Linked DNA regions of Caenorhabditis elegans. The protein of the gene in region 2 interacts with the protein of the main gene of each other region in a pairwise test. Each region holds a gene or a part of one and is shown on either strand. Other genes may lie near its edges.

The links.
Region 1: the proteins of pbs-7 (region 2) and chtb-3 interact in a two-hybrid assay, tested with the Caenorhabditis elegans proteins (2 studies listed by BioGRID).

Annotation. Positions count from the first base shown.
Region 1 is NC_003284.9:6,311,058-6,323,168, forward strand, and holds chtb-3 (EB domain-containing protein), read right to left. Parts: upstream 8,590-12,111; 5' UTR 8,497-8,589; coding exon 8,433-8,496; intron 7,705-8,432; coding exon 7,476-7,704; intron 6,982-7,475; coding exon 6,923-6,981; intron 6,875-6,922; coding exon 6,585-6,874; intron 6,530-6,584; coding exon 6,466-6,529; intron 6,419-6,465; coding exon 6,362-6,418; intron 6,307-6,361; coding exon 6,232-6,306; intron 5,892-6,231; coding exon 5,644-5,891; intron 5,589-5,643; coding exon 4,935-5,588; intron 4,818-4,934; coding exon 4,709-4,817; intron 4,663-4,708; coding exon 4,552-4,662; intron 4,505-4,551; coding exon 4,097-4,504; intron 4,050-4,096; coding exon 3,941-4,049; intron 3,896-3,940; coding exon 3,750-3,895; intron 3,704-3,749; coding exon 3,576-3,703; 3' UTR 3,472-3,575; downstream 1-3,471. Other genes in the region: npr-38 (G-protein coupled receptors family 1 profile domain-containing protein), read left to right, coding at 685-767, 936-1,045, 1,093-1,195, 1,246-1,314, 1,362-1,488, 1,534-1,674, 1,726-1,847, 1,900-2,016 and 3 more.
Region 2 is NC_003279.8:8,691,928-8,699,891, forward strand, and holds pbs-7 (Proteasome subunit beta), read right to left. Parts: upstream 4,375-7,964; 5' UTR 4,366-4,374; coding exon 4,334-4,365; intron 4,288-4,333; coding exon 4,182-4,287; intron 4,131-4,181; coding exon 3,952-4,130; intron 3,907-3,951; coding exon 3,795-3,906; intron 3,718-3,794; coding exon 3,436-3,717; 3' UTR 3,278-3,435; downstream 1-3,277. Other genes in the region: mrps-15 (Small ribosomal subunit protein uS15m), read right to left, coding at 1-184, 230-318, 369-432, 484-564; asg-1 (putative ATP synthase subunit g 1, mitochondrial), read left to right, coding at 1,021-1,245, 1,293-1,463; K07A12.5 (Pre-mRNA-splicing factor SYF2), read right to left, coding at 1,566-1,728, 1,775-2,077, 2,126-2,243, 2,288-2,382, 2,429-2,547, 2,594-2,731, 2,847-2,958, 3,011-3,152 and 1 more; F39H11.1 (Craniofacial development protein 1), read left to right, coding at 4,680-4,778, 4,827-5,059, 5,107-5,151, 5,227-5,389, 5,439-5,573; tlf-1 (TATA box-binding protein-like 1), read right to left, coding at 6,389-6,445, 6,522-6,588, 6,641-6,957, 7,868-7,964.

The DNA.
Region 1 (12,111 bases), on a different chromosome or scaffold from region 2:
AAGACACATCCGTTGAGTTCGATCTATTTATAAAAGTTAATTCTTATAAAAATACATTTCATTTTCCTTCCACTCATTTTCCCCTCTTAAAACGGAATGGATGAGCTGAGCCTGGCCACTTTCAATTTGCAACATTTGCTCTCGTTCTCTCATTTAGGGCGGGTCCTCGAATGGAAATTAGTTTTATGGAAAAAAGATGGGTGAATGGAATTTTCCCCCCTCTTGTCGTTTGCTCTCTTGCTCTCTTGCTTAGGAACATCTTTCTTTCCCGCCACCCTTAATTTCCCGTCGTCACGTCGGTTGGAAGAACGCTTTTTTGCACTTTTCTTCATGCTTAATTGTATTAGTTCAAGGTTTTGCTACTTCTTGATTTTTCCAAGCACAACTTGAAAATCATTTTCACTTAACCATAGATTTTCGAATCGAATGAACAAAATGTTTTCACCTGTTGCTCTCCAGAATTTTCAATACCACGAGTTTATCGTTTCTTACTTACTCATAGATCATGTTTTTCAAGGTTTCTCCTCCTTCAAACTGATATTTCTCTCACGTCACGCTATTAAATTGATCCATCATTTCTGAGTTCTCTTCCTTATATGCTTTCATAAATGGGAATTTATCAACATTCTTTTCAGAATGGGAGGCGATGACATACAAAGAATACTCGCATTGAGTTGTGAGTACATGTTCCCATTCTTGGCAATACTGGGTGTTTTTGGTAATTCTATCACATTATTTGTCTTGCTTAGTAGATCAATGAGAAACAGGTTGGTAACTTTTTAAAGAAAAAAAAAAGAAGTCAGAAGATCTGAAACAATAATTTCACTTAGTTTTATAAAACGTTTTTTTTTTCTAAAAGTTTTGCACTCCATAACAATGAATATTTTACCTCAATAAACAAATAAGAATGTAATGCCAATTATTAAACATTTAAGCACAAATGAAATGCTGGCGGCAGCAGCTTTTAGTGACATCCTCTACATTATTTGTATGGTTCCAAATCAGTTGAGTCGTTGGCCGTCAATGGTTCTTTCCGACTGTCCCGGTAAGTTTTTTTGGATTTACCATTTATAATAACGTCTTACATTTCAGATAACCCAGAGAGAAAATGTGCATCGGAATATCACATGTGGTTTGCAGTTCACAAACATCATCTAGCTTTTCTTGCAAACTGGTTTTCTGCGGCTAGCACTTGGTATTGAAACATAAAACTCCATTCTTATAGTTTAAAAGAGCACATTCCAGGTTCATTGTGACGGTATCATTTGACCGACTATACGCGATAAAGGCTCCATTTTCTGCTCGACTGCAAACGTAACTCAGTTTTTCGTTGTTATTCTTGAACTAGTTCTTTTTTTCAGAATTTGCCCAAGACATAACCTTGTTGCGATTCCACTAATCCTTTTCTTCACGGGTGCAAGCTGCTTTCATATGAATTTCAAACTGCTTGATGACCATGCAGGCTCTGGAAATTTTACGAATTCAACGGTTAGAACAATAATTTCATTATTGAAACTATAATGAAATTTTCAGATGGAAAATATTGAAGATAACAGAATCACTTTGATCCAAGTAATGACAGTTTTCATGTTCATCTTCCACATTCTGATCCCAATGATTCTTTTAATATCATTTCATACTTGCTTGCTGTATTATCTTCGTAACCGATTTAGGGTAACAAACAAATCATCAAAAAGTCAGTAGAAAAAACTTAAAGATATTTAGCACTTCTTTCCGGCTCGAACAAGAAGTGCAAGAAACTCGACAAGATCCGATGACGTCCCTGCTCCACTTTTATCCAACGTAACCGATCGATCGGAAGTAGTGCGACATCATTCTTCTAACAGGTGCAAAACTTAGTGACTCATAATTTGTATTATTCAATTTTGCAATTTTCAGTGGTGTTTGGAATCGCCATGTGAACAAAGCCGAACGTCATGTAACTTATACGGTCATAGCAATTGTCACATGCTACATTGTTTCACATATTCCATCTGCATGCCTATATGTTTACATGTAAGTTTTTGTTTTAATTTTTTGATCTCAGGAAGTAAAAACAGCAATTATTTCAATTTAATTTCTAGAAGTTTTTGAAAAAGCACAAGAAAAGTATACTAATTTCAGCAACCTGTTTCATAACGTTCTTTACTCAACAAGATGGATGTACACAAGTGTTCAAGTTTCCACAACCGTTGTCACATGCTCCAAAGTTGCAAATTTCATACTTTTTTGCATGAGCAGGTAAGGAGTAGAGTATTCTAGGTATTCAATTTTATTTTTGTTGCAGTAAACATTTTCGCAAAGAAATGAAAAAGAAGTTGTGCTTTCTGTCGTGCAAATACAAAGATGGAATCAGTGGAAAAGATAGTGCAAATCAGCCGAGAACAAGGTAAGTGAAAATCGGTAGATGTAAGGCACAGTGTGAATATGACAGTAGGGTGTTTCACAATTGCATTATCGTGCCTCACAGCGTTCGTTTTTGTCTATCATCTCTTTGTATTTCATGTCTCCGTGTCATGCATCTATCGTAAGGTCCTTTGTTTCTAAGAGCATCTCACTAAAGCATTTCAAAGGTTCAGATTCAGATCCCTCCCTCTGAACATCATTGGCGATTCAAGTAACAACTGTTCTCACGATTGAATGCGGCGTTCCATTTATGTCATTTTCTCAAAAAATGCATTAGACTTTAAGAAATTAGGCCGGAAATTGTTTTAATTGGATCTAAACATATCAGTTAACTGCGAGATGTGTGACAACTATTTTCCCAACACCTTTTGTTTAGGAATAGTATTAGATTTGAGATTTTTTAAATGATCAAATATATTAACGTTTTGTTCAATTGTTAAAACTAAATAGAATATTAAACTTCACCGACATTTCACAGAACGTGAAATCTAAAACTATACTTAAGACATAGTTATCTCAATATAGAAACACGATCTTTTTCACTCTTTCAACTGGTTTCATATTTTTGTTCATACGGATTTTTAAAAATTTTACATACCTTTGATGTTGAACTGTATCCGAATGTTTAATTCTCTTTTCTTTCCATTTGGTTTTATTTTGTAAGACCACATCATATTGCTGATAAGTTATATTTCCATTTAATTGTTTTCTTAAAAAAATAAAAATAAAACTTTTTTGTACAGTTCCATAATCACAATTATAACGGAGCACTTACGTTTTCATGAGACGAACGTTTACGAGCAATGAAAAGAGATTTCAGATTTTCTTGAGAGTCAAAGTCTATTCAAAATTAACTTTGACGTCTTGAAGCCAAAATGCGTCAGACTGATGAAACCGGCATTACCCGCTATGTTTCATGTTTCATCTTTAAGACGTATTTTAAAGTTGATTTATTATAATAAACATTTAATAAAATGTAGGTATACTCTACTGTGCTGGCATCCAGGTCTAGGACTTTTTTGTTTTTTTTTCAGGTGTCATATGAGGTTTGAAAACAATAATATTGCGGATAAATATTTTTATTTCATGTTAATATTAATTAAACATCAATACATTTTCATATAAGTCCATATATACATTTATAGCGGAGCTTTTGGCGTTTCATGAGATCAACATTTGCCAGCATTTAAAAGAGCTTTCAGATTATCTTGGGATTCAGCATCCATCCAAAATTTGTCTTCATCGTCGTGCATACAGAATGCTCCAGACTCGTGGAATCCTCGTGGACACTGGGAGACTGAAACAGAAATTAGACATTAACTTCCAGGTTCTTAGAAACTAACAGCATCTTCCATAGAGAAGCATTCCATTCGTGCATTGGCATTGTGGAACATTTTTATCACTCTTCTTCTTTTCGCAGTAGGTGTTCGGGCATCTAGACTGGCATTCAATGTCGGTTTGGCAACCGTATTCTCCAGGCCACAGTTTCCTGAAAAAAAAACCATATAAATATTGCCTTCCTAAAGAGCATTACATCCTGCATTCTCCGTCAATACATTTTTCGTTTGGAAGACATGTTGAGTCGGCATCAAAATTTTGAATGTTGGCGACACATTTTCTTTTGGATGCCACGTTGAAGAACACTGTAATTTTTGAACTTTTGAAAATATACTCGTATAACTATTCTTACGTGGAGTTTCAGTCATATTGCCAATCGGTGCAAAAAGTGGGCGTCGTCGTGCTGTCGACAAAAGGAATTTGCATGGAGAACCATATTGATCACATCCGTTTCTTGCCAACGTCAAAACTGTCGGTGCCATTTGTTCACACGTTGCTCCATTCGACGCTGCCCCATTGACACATGAACAAACTTCTTGAACACATTGTGCGCACGTGCTTTGGAATCCATTACACTGGTTCGAATTCTGGCAACTTGTGCCAGGAACACTGAACGAGACAATAGGGCTTATTCCGCTCGAACAACACGTGCCCATAGTACAGCTCGCGCCTGACGGACAAACATTGTTGGGTGAGCATTGGCAAACTGCGTTGGATCTGGTTGGACACACTGGTTCCATTGAGAGAAGACAACAACCTCCTGTAAGTATATGCTCAGATTAATTTCTTTGAATTCATTTTAAGTACCTAGTGGAGTGCATCCATAACCTGGTGGGCATTCTGCTCCCCGATAGCATCTCATTGAAGCTCTTCCTCCATTTGGACACAAAGGAAGTGGCTCCAAGCAGCATCCGCGGCCTGCAAGAAACATGTTTGTTTAATTTTTTCAGTAAGAAAAAACAACCTTCGCAAATGTAACCTATCGGACAAGAGTTAGCCATTCCGCAAACAGACGACGCAATACTTCCGCTGGAGCACATTGGCATTGGACAGCAAACACCATTTTCGCATTGCTACAAAAAATTTGTTTGTTTGATTGTCGAGTCGTGCTTTGTAGTTATCAAATTTTGAACGTCAGTAGTAAAAAAAATTGAAAGCTGCGTAATAAACTAACTGAACCCAAAACTTACATTTCCTGGTGGGCACCCGATTCCCATTGCACACCTCTGAACCGACATTAGACCACTTGGGCATCTTGGAAGAGAACAACAACCGCTGTTCACACATTCAAAGCCAGTTCCACATTTCCCAGTGCACATTGAAATTGCAAATCCACCAGATGGACACGACGGAAGATCGCAGCAACCACCGTTCATACATGTCTGTCCTACTGGACAACAGTTCGTACATCCACCCGAACATCTTTGTGACGATGCAATATTGTTCGGGCAAGTTGGTAGTGGGCAGCATGCTCCGTTGTTACAGTCAACACCGATTCGACCACAATCCAAGGTTCTTGTGCAAATTCCGAGAGATGTTATACCATTGGAGCATTTTGGCAGTGGACAGCAAAGACCTTCCATACAAGCTTGCCCCATTGGACATCCGTTCACTTGAGAACATCGGCCACGGGCTGTTACTCCATTTGGACAGAACGGTATTGGACAGCACCCACCGTTTGAACACTCAAGGTTCAGGCCACATTCGGCTGCGACCAGGCAACGTTTTTGAGAAATCATGCCGTTCGAGCACACCGGGAGTTTAATTGGCTCTTGACAACATGTTGTTTTGGAGTAACAACTTCCAACTCCGCAAGATCCAGAAGAGCAGAATCCCACAGCGTTCTAAAATTTAATATTTGACTTTTGTACTTTCTTATTTAAATAAGAAATTGCCCACCTGTCCAACTGGGCAACGAATCGGGCAACAAGCTCCCTGGAAACAAGCATTGTTTGGCCCACATCCTTTGGAGCAAGAAGTTGTCGATGGTGTTCCGTCAGGACAAAGAAGTACAACATTGTAGACAATATCTGTGGATGGTTGTTGTTGTAGAGGACAACACATTTGAAGTTGTTGGTTGCATTGTGTTCCAGATGGGCAAGATCCACAAACTCCAAACGGTGGGGAGTAAGAGCCAGGGCAGAGAGCTGGAAAAAATCGTATGAAAAAGATGCCCAAGATTCAAAAAATTGTAACTGATGAAAAATACCGTGATCTCTTTTACAACTTTAGGCTAAGCAACGTAACCTCATGTTTTGATCAAATTACCATTTTTAATAAAAATAAATGGAAAACTTATTTTTTGGGCACGGTTACAGAAATTTATTTGAAATTGCAAGAAACCGTATCACATAATGTATACAACATACAGTCCCAGAAATCGATACAATTTTTTATATTTGCAGGACAGTGAAGTCCGCAAGGTCCGCAAAGTGTACAATGTGCACAGTCAATAGTGCTCGCAGCAATATTTTTATATTTACTTACTAATTTTAATCATTCCTGTTGGTTGCTCATTCACTGGAACTGGGCAGCATCCCAATCCTGGGGTACAAGCAGAGTCTGAAATGTTTACATTGTTTTTTAGAAGTTTTAGTTGTTAGCTTTTTTTTCTCACACTGCGGACACTGCTCGTTGCATGAACCAAGTGGTGGCACATTTGAACCGGGGCAGACTGTAAAATGATCAAGAAATAGGTATTTTTCCAATCTTTCAACTTACGGGGAGCTTGATGTTGAATCAAATTGTTCAAGTTTAGAGTATCCGTTTGTTGGCAACAAACTTTCTGTAATAAAATTTTAAAATTTGTTTTTTAATTCCTAATATACATCAAAACCTACGTTTTGACATTGGGAAGTTCCTGGGCAAGAGCTGGAAACTTGAGAACAGCTACAAACAGGCTGTTGGGTGGAACTATCACATGAGTTCTGGATGGCAAGTGGTACACAAACATTCAAATCAGAATTAAAAACTGTCGATTGGGAGCATTGCATACGTGTCCATTCTCCACATCCTTCAGTAGGCGAGGATGGGACGCACTGGAAGAAGTATGCGTTGCTTGCAGGATCTTGTTGAAGTGGGGACGAACGCCAATTACATTCCATACCCTGGTTAGCAACTGCGGTTGGGGCTGAATAAAGAAGACTTTTTGACTCTGTTCAATCAATTTTTGAAATACCTTGACAAGCAGAGACACATCCGGATGCCTGAACATTTTGTGCGCAAGCGACTTGTTGCCTAAAAAATATTTACTCTGAGTTCTGAAGAAGTTTACTTAAATATAAAACTGCGACAGTGGGGAAATTGTTAAAAACCACTCTTTTGGTGCCAAAATGAGAAATTCTTTATATTGTTTCAGAAAGTGGTAATCAGTTTTTGATACTTTTTTTAGAAATCGTCTATTAGAAAGTTATTTCTTTTGAATTTAATGGTTTCTTTATGTTTCATATACATACTGATATTCAATCATTGTATGCACCTTTTAACTGTCAATAGATAATTTTTTCAAATTATGTAAACAGTTTCACTGTGATATTTGGTAATTTGTACACCACATTTTCACAATTTCACCACTCAGTTTTTTTTTCACAATTTCACCACCACTGGCCCTACTCCACTTTTGAAAAAAGAATATTAAGTTTGGGGGAATCGCTGAAACTCTAAAAAATTCAGATTTTTTCTCTACGTAAAATTATCTACAAAATGTTTCCTACTCCTTCTTCAAAACTCACCTTCTGAATGTCTTCTTCTCGATACATCGTTGTTTCGGCTCGTCAAACTCGTGTTCCTTGGGACAGTCTCGTAGGTTCCAGACACCCAGGTATTTCTTGCTCAGCGCGTATCCTTTTACTTCATCCTCATTGAGTGGCGCACACTCGTAAAATTGTGTCGAGTTATCCGCAGGTCTTAGATGTTCAACTGTCATGCACACCTTTCCAGCGGACGGAGAGTTTTCGATCCCTAAAATTTAAATATTTGAGTGCCCGATTCGAAGTTAAGTTTATAAGTTTTTTAGTTTATAGTGATGTTTCACTTGTCACTGTCCTTTTACTCATTTTTCTGTCTTAGGGTTTGGTTCTTTGAACCTCTAGATGCCACTAAGCGAATCCGACCTTGAGTATGTTCTTGAATGCCTTGGGATTTAAAATCAGAAATGACATGATACCGATCTTGCAAGTGATAGCCACCACAGAAACGGTTTTTTGTGCGTACTACTACTATTTGTCGCCCTTGAACTAGATAAACTGGAACGCGGAAGTTTGATGGGATTCATCTTTAATTGAAAATCATGAATCAATTTTGCTCGTAATTGACCTGAATAACTTTATGATGAGAGGCTAGAAGGAGACTACAAAGACGAGAAAAAGTACTTGAAACGTTTTCGTTTGTTTTTTCTTTCCGTCCGCGCGGTGGAAATCAAGAAATTCGAACTCTTTTTTGTTTGTTGAGAAATCTGCTCTTTTTGAATGACAAATTTCGTGTCCAGATTCAACTTAAAGGAAAGAAATATGCTCCAATTAAGGTATTTAAGATTATCAAAATTTTATAGTTTAATATCTCATCTGTGTTTTAAATCATATAATAATAACAGAATGCTATTTGACTTCTTTTGACACAATGTGTCTAGATAAATATGATTTGATACAGTGATTTGATACTATTAATCAAAATATCACGAAAAAATTTACCTTGTGAAGGGTGTGGCAGTAACAAAATAGTTAAAAATGGTAACATAGAAATATATAACTCCATCTCATATATAAATTATGAATAAATTAGTATAAAATATATAATTTAAAATATGGAATGAATAGAGACAAACTGTCTGGATTTCTTGACTCGCTATGTTAGATTTCCGGAGACTGTATATCGCAGCACGTCCGTTTATATGAGGCGGCATCGGCTCGTCGAGCATTAGACCAGTTTCCGCAGAGACGCTCTGCCGACGCACATGGAAGACCCCCTCGCGATGCGGAAATATCATGGCAAAATATGAGGAGTTGGTGAAAATTAGACAATTTACAGGAGTATGAGTCATGTCGAATCTGCAAACAGTTTTACTTGATTCATTTATGAATGACGACATTAACCCGATTTGAGTGCAAAGGGAGGTTCTGGTAATAAGGAATGAGCCATTGAGGTTCTGCAAATCCAAAAATTTATGAACTTTTTTAGAATAAAGATATGTTTTAAGGCTTGTTCAACACAGGTTAAAAACTTACTATTTCCGAAATTCACACTGTAAAGCGGTCATACTTGTTTTTTAATAAAACAACTTTTTAGGAATATGGCTACTACATGTGTTTTTTTTACATTTTTAGTATGTCATTACTTTTAATTGAAAAGTTACAAAAGTTGCTCAGACACTGAGTTCAAAATCAGTTTCGGCATACTTAATAATCGCAATTTTTCAGTATGGCCAAAAAATATGTGATTTTCCAAATTCGGCACTACATATATTATTTATTTTGCAGATTAACTTTCAACTTTTCAATACTTTCTTTAATTCCTTTTTTCCTTGGCACATTCATTTCATTTCCACTTTGTTTCAATTTCATAGACGCACAACGCACAAAAAACAATTGTACCCAAATGAAAGAATAGCACAATTCAGACCATCATGTTGCCGCCATAATCTTCTTTGCTATGACGGCCCTGGCGGAAAACACTGAAAGGGCACGTTTTTGATTTTCCGGATAGACACGATGCTGGAGCACATCTCTCAACCACTTGATCTATTGTGTTTGTCGGATTTTCAAGTGTTTTTTGATCATTTCATGCAGATAGTTTTACCCGAAAAAACTTTTTTCCCAGATGATATACCACGACATTTTTGTAATTTTCACTGTTCTAATTCCCATAGTGAGATGAAGGTTTTTTGTAGACTTTTTCCTCTTGATGCTGATTGGAACAAGCAGATTACGTCACTTATTAAATGTTTAATACCGTTCCAAATACGACATTTACGGCGACTTGCTAATTTCGATTTATTTGGGAATTAATACAATTATAGCTGACAGGTGTTTTGATAATGTTTGAAATGTCGACGAAAAACCCAAATTTCCTTATTTACGCTTCTTTTTTTTTCATTTATCCCTACCACCTTGGTGGCATTTTTTAATGACTTCCTCGAGGAAGTGAAACAGAAAAAAACCGAACAGATAGGGTTTTTTCTCATTTCTCTCTTTCCCAGCGCATGTAAAAAACAGAAGAAAGCGGTCCTCCGGGGCTTGGGTTGAAGCGAGAAAAGATGATGAAGATAATGAGTCGCAGACAAGGTTTGAGGTGACGCCGGTTTTTTCAAGGGCAGCTATCGGTGTGGGTGATGGCAAGTGTAGACCTAATGAAGGAGCGGCTGAGATACTAAGGCTGATGATGAGGGTTCAGAACGAACCTCGAAAGGAAGAACAACTGTGGAAGCTGATGAGGAGAAAGTGTCCGCAATATGTACGTGGTGTTCCTCAATATATCTTTCTTATCGGCGATAAGCTGCGATTTGTTGCGTCATTGACATAGTCGGCCAATTAAAAAAACTGAAGACCGTTTTTATTCTGTTACATCTACGGATGGCTGAAGTTTTACTGATCGAAGATCAAGCTTTAACTAGAGTCTATAATTCTATGTATCATTGCAACTTTGGAAACTTCTAACTTTGGTCATTTAGATGTCAATCTCAGAGCAAGACGGCGCCGTTTTTTTTTTCCCTTTTTCCTTTTTCCAGGGTCAGCGCCAAGGTCGCAAAACGCTTGCCGGAAAAGCATATCTCTCTAATTGATAAAATCGCTTACCTTGAAAACAAGAAACAAGGAAATAGGAAGTTGTTGTGTCGTAGAAATAGTAGAAGGTAATTTCACGGAGCTTCCTTTACTAGCGGGGACTGAAACGGTAGTTCCTATCGTGTCATTTCTACACATCAAAAAAAAAACAAGAATGCATTAAAGTGCTTCAAGATAACATCACATATGTGCCGCGATGGACGATATTAATTCTATTTGAAATTCTTATTGAAATTGAGTAGTGTAAAGACTTAAACTTAGAAAGGAAGAAAATTATTAAATGCAAATTTGATAATTGTGTTTTGTTACCCACCAGCTTATCACCGCCATAAGATATCCTAAAATCATAAGTTGATCTGCAAAAAAATTATAATTTGATTTTTATGATATTCAAAAAGACACCAAAGAATTGCCCCAAAATTTTTAGATTATGCATTTCAGTCTTTTTTTTGATAAAAAAATCAAACTTTTTACATCTCCGAATATATTCAAGTACTTGTGCATTACACTCTTTTCTTTTTTGGAAAATAAATATTCTTCAAAGCTGAATTTCATAATAAGGCTATTTAAAATTTGCTCAAAATTTTGAACCACCATTAAAAAAATTTGATCAAAAGTTGAAAATTCTCGTTATGAAGATTGATCTTGTGGTGTCATTTTGAGTTTCAAAAAGCTAAAAAAGTTTATCTTGAATACCAAATAAAACGTTTCTAATTTTTTTTACAGTAAAAATGGGAAAACTATGTGACATAATTCTGAAAGTCGACTAATATATTTATATGTACTGAAATAACTTAGAATCAATAAAACTGAACTAAGAGCAATTTGTTTTTTCTTTAATCAAATGTTGATTGGTATATAAAATTCCAGAAAAAACAAGTTCTGTTATCTTTCAGCGGTCATGGGGGTCAGTGTACAAAACAAAATTGGTCGTTTTTTGTTGTTGTTCAACTGAAAGCCCAACTTGATGACCAGGTAAACAAAAGTGTGGAAGACCCCTTTTAGTCGTTTCCCGGTCAAAAATAAACTTTTTTGTTGTCTATCGACTGTATTGTACGTCTTATGTGGCAATGCCACATCAGCTTCATTATTCTTATGTGGTCGTAGGATTGGGTTGGGTTGTGTGGCGGTTGACGGGTAATTATGGCGTCGAGAAAAGTCGACAAATATTCTACAAGAATGAAACAAAGACGATGCGCCTTGTCTTGAAAACAAGGAAACATTGATTATTACATCGTGCATATTTGAGGTGTATGAATGAATCATAAAAATGGTTGTAATGAATATTGCTTTGTGTAACAAATTTTCAGGTCAATTTAGGCACGTCTTCCAGGTTTGCGCAGAAAGGAACATTTTCACGAAATAGTGTTACTGGTATTTCCCATGTTTTAAATGAAAGAAAACATAGTAGAAATGGATAAACTCGCAAGAAAACACTTTCTCTTCAGGACTTCCAGTTCACCTGTATTTTTTACTTTAAAAACTTTTAGGAACATTGATAATTAGCTTAATCAAAAATAAACTTCCTCAATCTATCAGCTTTAGTGTCAGATCCAATGATATAGCATAAGACAGAGAGTAGGGAACGATA
Region 2 (7,964 bases):
GCCTTACTGATTTGATAAGACTTTGTTTCCATTCTTGTGACAACTCTTTTCTCGTCGCCATTTCAACACTAAAAATCTTTTTGACAGACTCTGGAGCATTCGAAAGAACATCTAAATCTTCATATTTCGCACGAGTTTTCGATTTTTCAATACGAGGCAATCCGAATTCGGTTTTTTCGAGAATCTGCAAGAATATTGCTTATATCTATAAAACTCTTGATTATCATACCAAATTATCAGCTGCTTTCAAACCCAAATCGCGTTCACTGCCAATTTTTTCGTAGTAAAGCTTCGTAAGTGCATCGATGTAGTTTTGATCTGAAAATCACTTAATAGAGATATATATCTCGGTACTTGAATATACTCACCCAGTGGCAGTTCTCTCGCTTTTTTCTCAAAGTAATCCGGATCTTGCTTGGCTGGGTCGGTGACCTGAAAATGATATATCAAATTGTGGCTAGTTTTGTTTTTTTTTCCACCCACTTTTTGATGAACGTTGTAGAACGCTGTTCTTCCTCGTTCCAGCCGACACGATGTGTGCACAAATCTTCGAAGATTTATCATCTGAAAGTATTATAGAAAATTGAACAAAAATACCGTTCAAAACTGACTTAATATTAATTAATCTAATCATTCATGAAAATTAAAACAAAAAAAATTTCCACGGCGCCTTGGAACTCAATGAGATACGGTTTGTAAAAGTCCGCAAACACCGTGCCGCTCAACTGCGGACAGCCTCGCTGAATTAAAAAAACCAAGGATTTCTTTCTCGATTGCTTAAAGGGTCCCACCACGATTCAAATATACTACTGTCTTGATTAAAACGGGCTGCTTGTATTTTGGGGGATTTTTTTAATGAATGAGCACTCATGGGCAACATTATTCCCTTTCTATTAAGTTTCATTTAAGGAACAAATAAATTTTAATGATCTATTCAATAATTGATTCCCTCGTCTCCCAATTTTATTGCCTTATTAATTTCGAAACACATTCTCTCATTCACACTCGAAATTTTCAGCGATGGCGACCCACAAGCTGAGCTTCTTCGAAAAGTTGGCCAACACCTTTGGAGCTCTTTACCGTCATCAAGCTCAGCAGTTCCCACGCCGTCTCGCTATTCTCAAGGCTGTTGGAAAGCACGAGCTGGCTCCACCCCGGTCTGCTGACATCCCAGCTATCAAGGCGGACTGGGCTAAGCTCCAGAAGTTTATTGAGACCAAGCAATATGTCAACCTTAGTATCAAGGTAATTTGTTACACGCTGAAACAACACTCAATAAAAAATAACTTCAGGAAAGTCTCGTCTACTCGGCAGTTGCCCTCGAGGTAGTCTTTTGGTTCTTTGTCGGAGAAATGATTGGACGTCGCTACATTTTCGGGTACATTGTTCCAGCCAATTATGTCTCGAAGGATACAAAGGCTAAGGTTGCCGAAAAGAAGAGACTCGCTGCCCTCGAAGCTTAATACATCGATAAGCATATTCATTTGTGAAAATATGTGTTTTTTCTTCAACGTTTGTTAGATAAAAGAAATTAAGGCTTTATTTTTCTAGTTCAATACAAAAAATTACAATCCACTAGTTTCTTCTCCAGCCTCTCGAGTGTAATCCTTCCGATCTTCCTCAAAAGTTTCAAGTGCCTTATTTTTCACTGCATACTGTCTTTTCAGAGATCGGCCTTTGAAAACATGAGAAGTGATTGTTGGAGCAAAAATGATTTGATTCGGAGCGCTAAAAATAAAACTCGTTAGAGAAAAATCAGTTTCGAAATTCTTACTCGGTCGCATCATCCTGGCTTATTGAACTTGTAGAGAGGGTTTTATCTACAGATACTTGTTTCTTGTTGAATTCAATAGTACCGTGCAAGGTATTCATGAAAACAGCATTTCTTTCACAACTCTTCTTGTATCTCGCATTAATTGATGCCAAGGACTCGGACATGATGGTGTTTGCTGTGTTGCTAGGTGGTTCTGTTATTCCAGCATGTTTAACTTTCCCCCCAGCAGTCATTGTCTCAATCAACTTTTCAGCAGTAACCGTGTACTTTCCCTCTGGATCATCGTCCAACGTCATATCCTCTCTGAAATTCAAATATTAAGATCCAACGGATGCAAGCCACGAAAATTACTCTTCGTCTTTTGCCATCCAATAAATCATCTTTCCTTTCTTCAATTGCGAACGGGAAATCGGTTGTTGATACCAACTGGCTGGGAACAGGGCTCTTTTGTCGTCAGTGGTATTCACAACTGAAAATAAACACTCCGATTTCTGTATTGTTTCGTAGTTTTACCGAATTTCTCCATCGGGGCTGTTGGCTCTAAAACTTCTTTTTGCTCCATTGTTTCCACTTTTGTTTGCTTGGGATCGACAGGGGCAGCGTATAAGCTAAAATATGATAATTTCTACATAAAACCATTCGACCCATTGAAACCTTTTCATCTGATCGTACTCTGCTTGGGACTTTTTTATGTTGTCCTGTTTATCTTTCCTTTGCTCCAAACTGATTTTCTGTTTCTTACGAAGAGCGTCCAGTTCCTTTTCACGAGCTGCCTAAAGTTCATGGTTAAAGTAAATTTCTCTATAATCTCTATGTTACGTGATCACGAATCGACACAAACTTTTTTTGTGGAGCCAAAGTGGATAAGTAGTATTCTTTCAATCGTCCAAATTCTACATCAACTTTCACTCCTTGACGATTGACAACCGTATTGGCTCGTTGCATCTTTGGATGGCGCTGAATTTCAAGAAATAATGTATTTCTTTTTAACTTTTTAGATGGATAGTAAAAACCGTAATTAAGCACTTCCTTTGCGCGGCGAGATATATATATATATATACTGTATGCTTACCACGTCTGAATTTTTCGATTTCGAAACGTATTGAGACTGCGTATGAAAGATTTCAACTACTTGCTCCTTTCGAAATTCTTCCCAATTTTTCAGTTGTTTCTGAGCATCCTTCCTGGAAACCAAATCAGATAAGTTATTACATATACATCAATTTATTTAATTACTTGTGAGTTTCATACTGATCATCACTCAGTTTATACCGCTGCTGCATCTTCTTTTTGTAGCTCATCTTCTTCGCCTGTTTCTTTTCATAATCAGATTTCTGTTTATCAGGCGATGGTGATAAACTGAGCTTTTGGAGTTTACCTGAAAGCGCTCGATTTTACTTTAAACCAAAAACTCATCATACTTTTTAAACCAGAGAAATTCATGCTCGCTATTTTTGACTCGAGCACTTGTGAAATGATGCGTGTGAATACTTAGACGTGAATAGAAGGATTAAATGGAAGTTTATTTATCGACTTCACGCGAAAATAAATAAAATTTACACCGAAAACGTGGGTTGGAGAGAGTAAAATGTTTTGAAAAGAAGGATACAAATAAGTTAAACATGGAGATACTGAAACGCATCCTGCACACCGGGGAAAACTTATTCATATTGACAGTTAGTCTCGGCAATCGACCAGTCACCAATAATCTTCTCTTCTTTACCCAAAACGACACCTTCTGTCGCATCAACACGTCCGATTTCGAACTCATTGTCAGCGACGCAGTCGTGGTAGAGAGTAAGTTCAAGCGATTTGCGAAGCACGGCTTCTGCCTCTTCACGGGAGAGGTCTTCTCCCTTCTTTCTCCACTCATCTTCAACAGCTTGGTTGAGGAGGAACGCTCCAAGTCCAGTTGCAATGTGCTTCACTTGATATGCGCATCCCTGAAATTTAGAATAATTATTATGTGATTATTTAATCATGAGATTCTGATCCGGCAAGTTAACGCTTTCAAGTTTACCTTCTGAGTAATGACACCGATGAAAGGTGTGCTAGTCTCCTTGTTGTTCTTCTCCTCCTCTTCGACTCCGGCGACAACAAGTGTGTTCCACACTGGGTTCATCTTGCAACGTCTGAAATTTTTTACTTAAACTTTCAATTTAATTAGGAAAACAGACTTGGCGTAGAGAAGGCTTGTGAGGTATCCGTGGAGAGCTTTTGGTCCAATATCCTGATCGAAGCGCTTCCAGAGAAGAACCTGACGCTCGATCACATTTTGAAGCCAGTGGAAGTCAGCGTGATCTCCTCCGAAGGCAATGAGAACATTATCATTGACCTTGTATTGACGAGAAACATTCTGGAAACAAATATTATGAAAATCCACTTTCAGCTGAACGGAAATTCAAACCTTGTAACGAGCCATTTTTCCATAGGAAACAACTCGATCAGTAAGGACAACAACCCCAGTTTTATACTGGAGAGCGATAACCGATGTTCCGGTACAAGTAGGATTCCTGAAAAATTGAGTTAATTCAAACGAATATAGGTTTAATGACTTACAGTGTGCGCTGGACTTCGTCGTGAGCATTCATTTTGGTTCTGAAACAATATAAATGAAGTTTTTGAAGGGAGTGCTTTGAAAAAATGAAAGGAAGTGAATTTCGACAATGAAATGCAAAAATGGCGGCTAAGTCATCATAAAGCATGTGCGCTCCGTCGAATTTTACACTGAATACCACGCACAATTGCGTACTTCAATAAGAAAAATTATCTCGCGCTACTTTTTTTGAGATAATATTATAATATAAATTAATTCATATTTTATAAATATATTAATTCATATTTTATTCTTTTGAATTCTCACTGAAATTGTGAAACTATTTAAAATATAAATTGTTTCAGAAAAATGACCTCGGAGCTTAAAAATAACGAAGAAGACTACAACTCATCGTCCGATGAAGATTACGATCCAACAAAGGATACCGATTTTGATCCAAAGGATGAAGTAAGCATTCCTAGATATCGCCCTTTTATTGCTCATTCTCCTCAACAGATCGATGATCAAGAAGAATGCGAAGATGGAATTGACGAAGAAGTTGAACATCTGAAAAATGAAAAACAAAGTGACGACCATACATCAGAAAAGGCAAACAGTACTGAAGGAAGTGTTGATGTGGATGCGATATTTGCAGAATTAACTGGGCTAGCACCGAAACCAGTTGTCAACGATACATCAAGCAAGAATATTCCAAAAACTGAAGAAAGGGTGTATCCAAAATCAGCAGCGTATGTTTGAAACAAGTAGAAATAACTTTTAAAAATGTATTTTACAGATCTGCATCCAACGAGTCTACAAATCAGAAGGTTTATCCGAAAAAGTGAGTTGACATGAGTTTTTATTTGATACAAATTTAAAAACAACTTTTTCTTATTTTTCTAATAATTTTTTTCAGAACGGAAACAGCTGGAACATCGTCTGAAAGTAGCATTGTACCCGGAAAGAAAAGAGTCGGCTTGCTTGATGCTGCAAAATCACTGTCGAAGCGTTCTAAAATTTCTGTTTTGGAGAAATCTGATCGAGATTGGAAAGATTTTACGACGCAAAATAATTTAAAAGTATGTTTCTTTAAGTTTAAGGTTTTTGAATAAATTGTTTGTTTTTCAGGAAGATTTGGAATCTCATAACCGAGGGAAAGGCGGTTATCTGAACAAAATGGACTTCTTAAACCGAGCTGATAATCGCCAGTTTGAAAAAGAACGAGCGTTCCGTGCAACAGCTCGTAAGGACACTGGACAGTAAATAATTCTTTATTTTTTCAATTGAATCTTTTTTGTGATTTTCTGGTTTCTTTGACAATTCGTAACTTTGAAAAATTCATAAACCTTCTGTAAAGATACGGACATTGAAATTTAATCATGAACATATTTAATGGACAAAAACGAGAAAAATGGTAAAGGGAGACAATAACTAAATCTAGAAAAAGGATGAATCATGAAAAGGGAATTGTAGAAAAATCACATTCTAAAATAATTAAAATGAAATACAACAACTTTGGGAAAAGGTAGGTTACAGTTTTATAATACGAACTCGTTTGTTTTTAAGGACTTTTTGTGGAATTTTTGCGAATTGTTTCAGAACAAAAAAAAATCTGCTACTTGTTTTTAAAACTGGGATTCATGAGGAAAAATAGATAATGGAAAATAAGGAAAAATTAAGATTTGCTGGGCTTGAGGGGAACATGATGAAGACATGAAGTAGAGAGCACATAGTGGGATGTGGAGAGAGAAAGAGCTAGAAGGAAGCGAGAATTGTTTTTCTGATCATTGTGTTAATTTTACAAAAAAATGGATAGGAGATTGTGTTGATTCGATGATGACTTATGATGTTGATGATGGTAACGGCAAACAGAGAAAGAAAAGAACAGGAAAAAAGCGGATAAAGCATGAATTTTGAAGCACACAGAACAATTGAAAGAACAAGATATACTGGAAGATAGAAAGCTAAAACTAGAGAAATTATGACGAGATGATGTAGAAAGGTAATCAGATAATGATTGCAAATTGAGATTTTTTAAAAATTACAATGAATGGGTAGGCTGCATCAATTAGGTACAACTATTCTTCTAAATCGAGCTCATCATACAGATCTTCATCTTCATCAGAGAAATAGACCTGAAAGAAAAATGTGTTATTTTAAAATTAAATTTGTATTATTTTCAAACCACCGAAACACTTTTTATTTGCATACCTGGTTATTGATAACTCCAGAATTTCTATAATTGCTGTCATCAAAGCGTTCGCGTTTGATTGGTGGTCTAAAAAATTATTTTATTTTTACATTGAAGCCAGAATTTTACAAATTTTTACCCTCTGTTAACAGGTGCCTTTCGTTTCCTCTTCTTCTGAGCAGCGACATTTCCTTTGGCTCGTTCGAGACATCGGAATTCTAGAACAATTGGATAGATCTTTGAGAGTACTTCGAGAACATCGGCTTCCGATTGAGCTCCAGTGACTGTAATTGAGCCAGTCGTATGAATTCGAAGAGTAGCTTTTGGTGTCACAGATCTCCAAACAAGACCAACGGAAAGTTCAGGCTCATATGTGGATTCTGATGGATATTTTGCTGCGACTTCTTCGATTTTGATTCCGAATGGAAGACGGCACGTGGCCAGAACGTTGTTCACCTAAATTCCACATAAACTTAATAATTAGATAAATATTTTAAAGTTGCAAAATTTTATGGTATTGACAAACACACAAAAACGGTATCGCGCGTGGTGTCAGAATGTCCCATCACAGTCTGATCTACAAAAAATGAAACGTGACGTAGAGTTTCCAACTGGTGTCGCACGGTTAAGAATGTGCTGACGTCACACTTTTCTGAGCAAAAATACCCGCACTTATTGTAGATCACACCGTGATGGGACAACCTGACTCTACGTGGTATCGTAATTTTTTTTTTCAAATTTTGAAATGGCTCTTTAAAGGCTCACGACTTTCTTCAGATGGGTCTCGACGCGCAAAAAGTTTATTGTAGTCTTTTTCTTCAATGTTTGCGTTTTTCAATGAAACTGCACGGTTTTCAGCTTTAAAAAAAAATTCTGTTAAAAAATCTGTTTCCAAATGGGGGCACCACGGTTTCAAGATCTGGTGGATTCCGGTTCTACGTTTTCCAGATCTGGCACCAAAACGTAGATCCGGAACCCCACCAGATCTTGAAACCGTGGTGCCTCTCCAAATGTTCAAACTTCAAAAAAAAAAGAAAGATTACCATAAACATTTTGCGTGCCGAGACCTTTCTGAATAAATCCGTGCGCCTTTAAAAAGGCATGTAAAAATCTGGTGAAACTACGATACACGGTCAAATAATTTTAGTACACTAGTTTGCACGACTGACATTTTTACACTTTTCTTCAATTTAATTTAAATTTACAAGTAATAACTTTAACAAAAATGAAACATCTTTAAAAGAAAAAAAAACAAATCGGAAATGGCGGAAGCTACTGTACTTCTTGAAGGCGAACTTTTTTTAAATATTTTTTTTTTAATAGATAAATTTTTTTAATAGATAAATTGAAACTTTTCAAAACTTGCTCGATAATTTCTAATCGAAACTCGTTCTTTCGTTTTTCCCATAACTCGCTGAACATGTCTGGCAATTGAACGTGCAGCTCGTTTACAATCCGCCTCA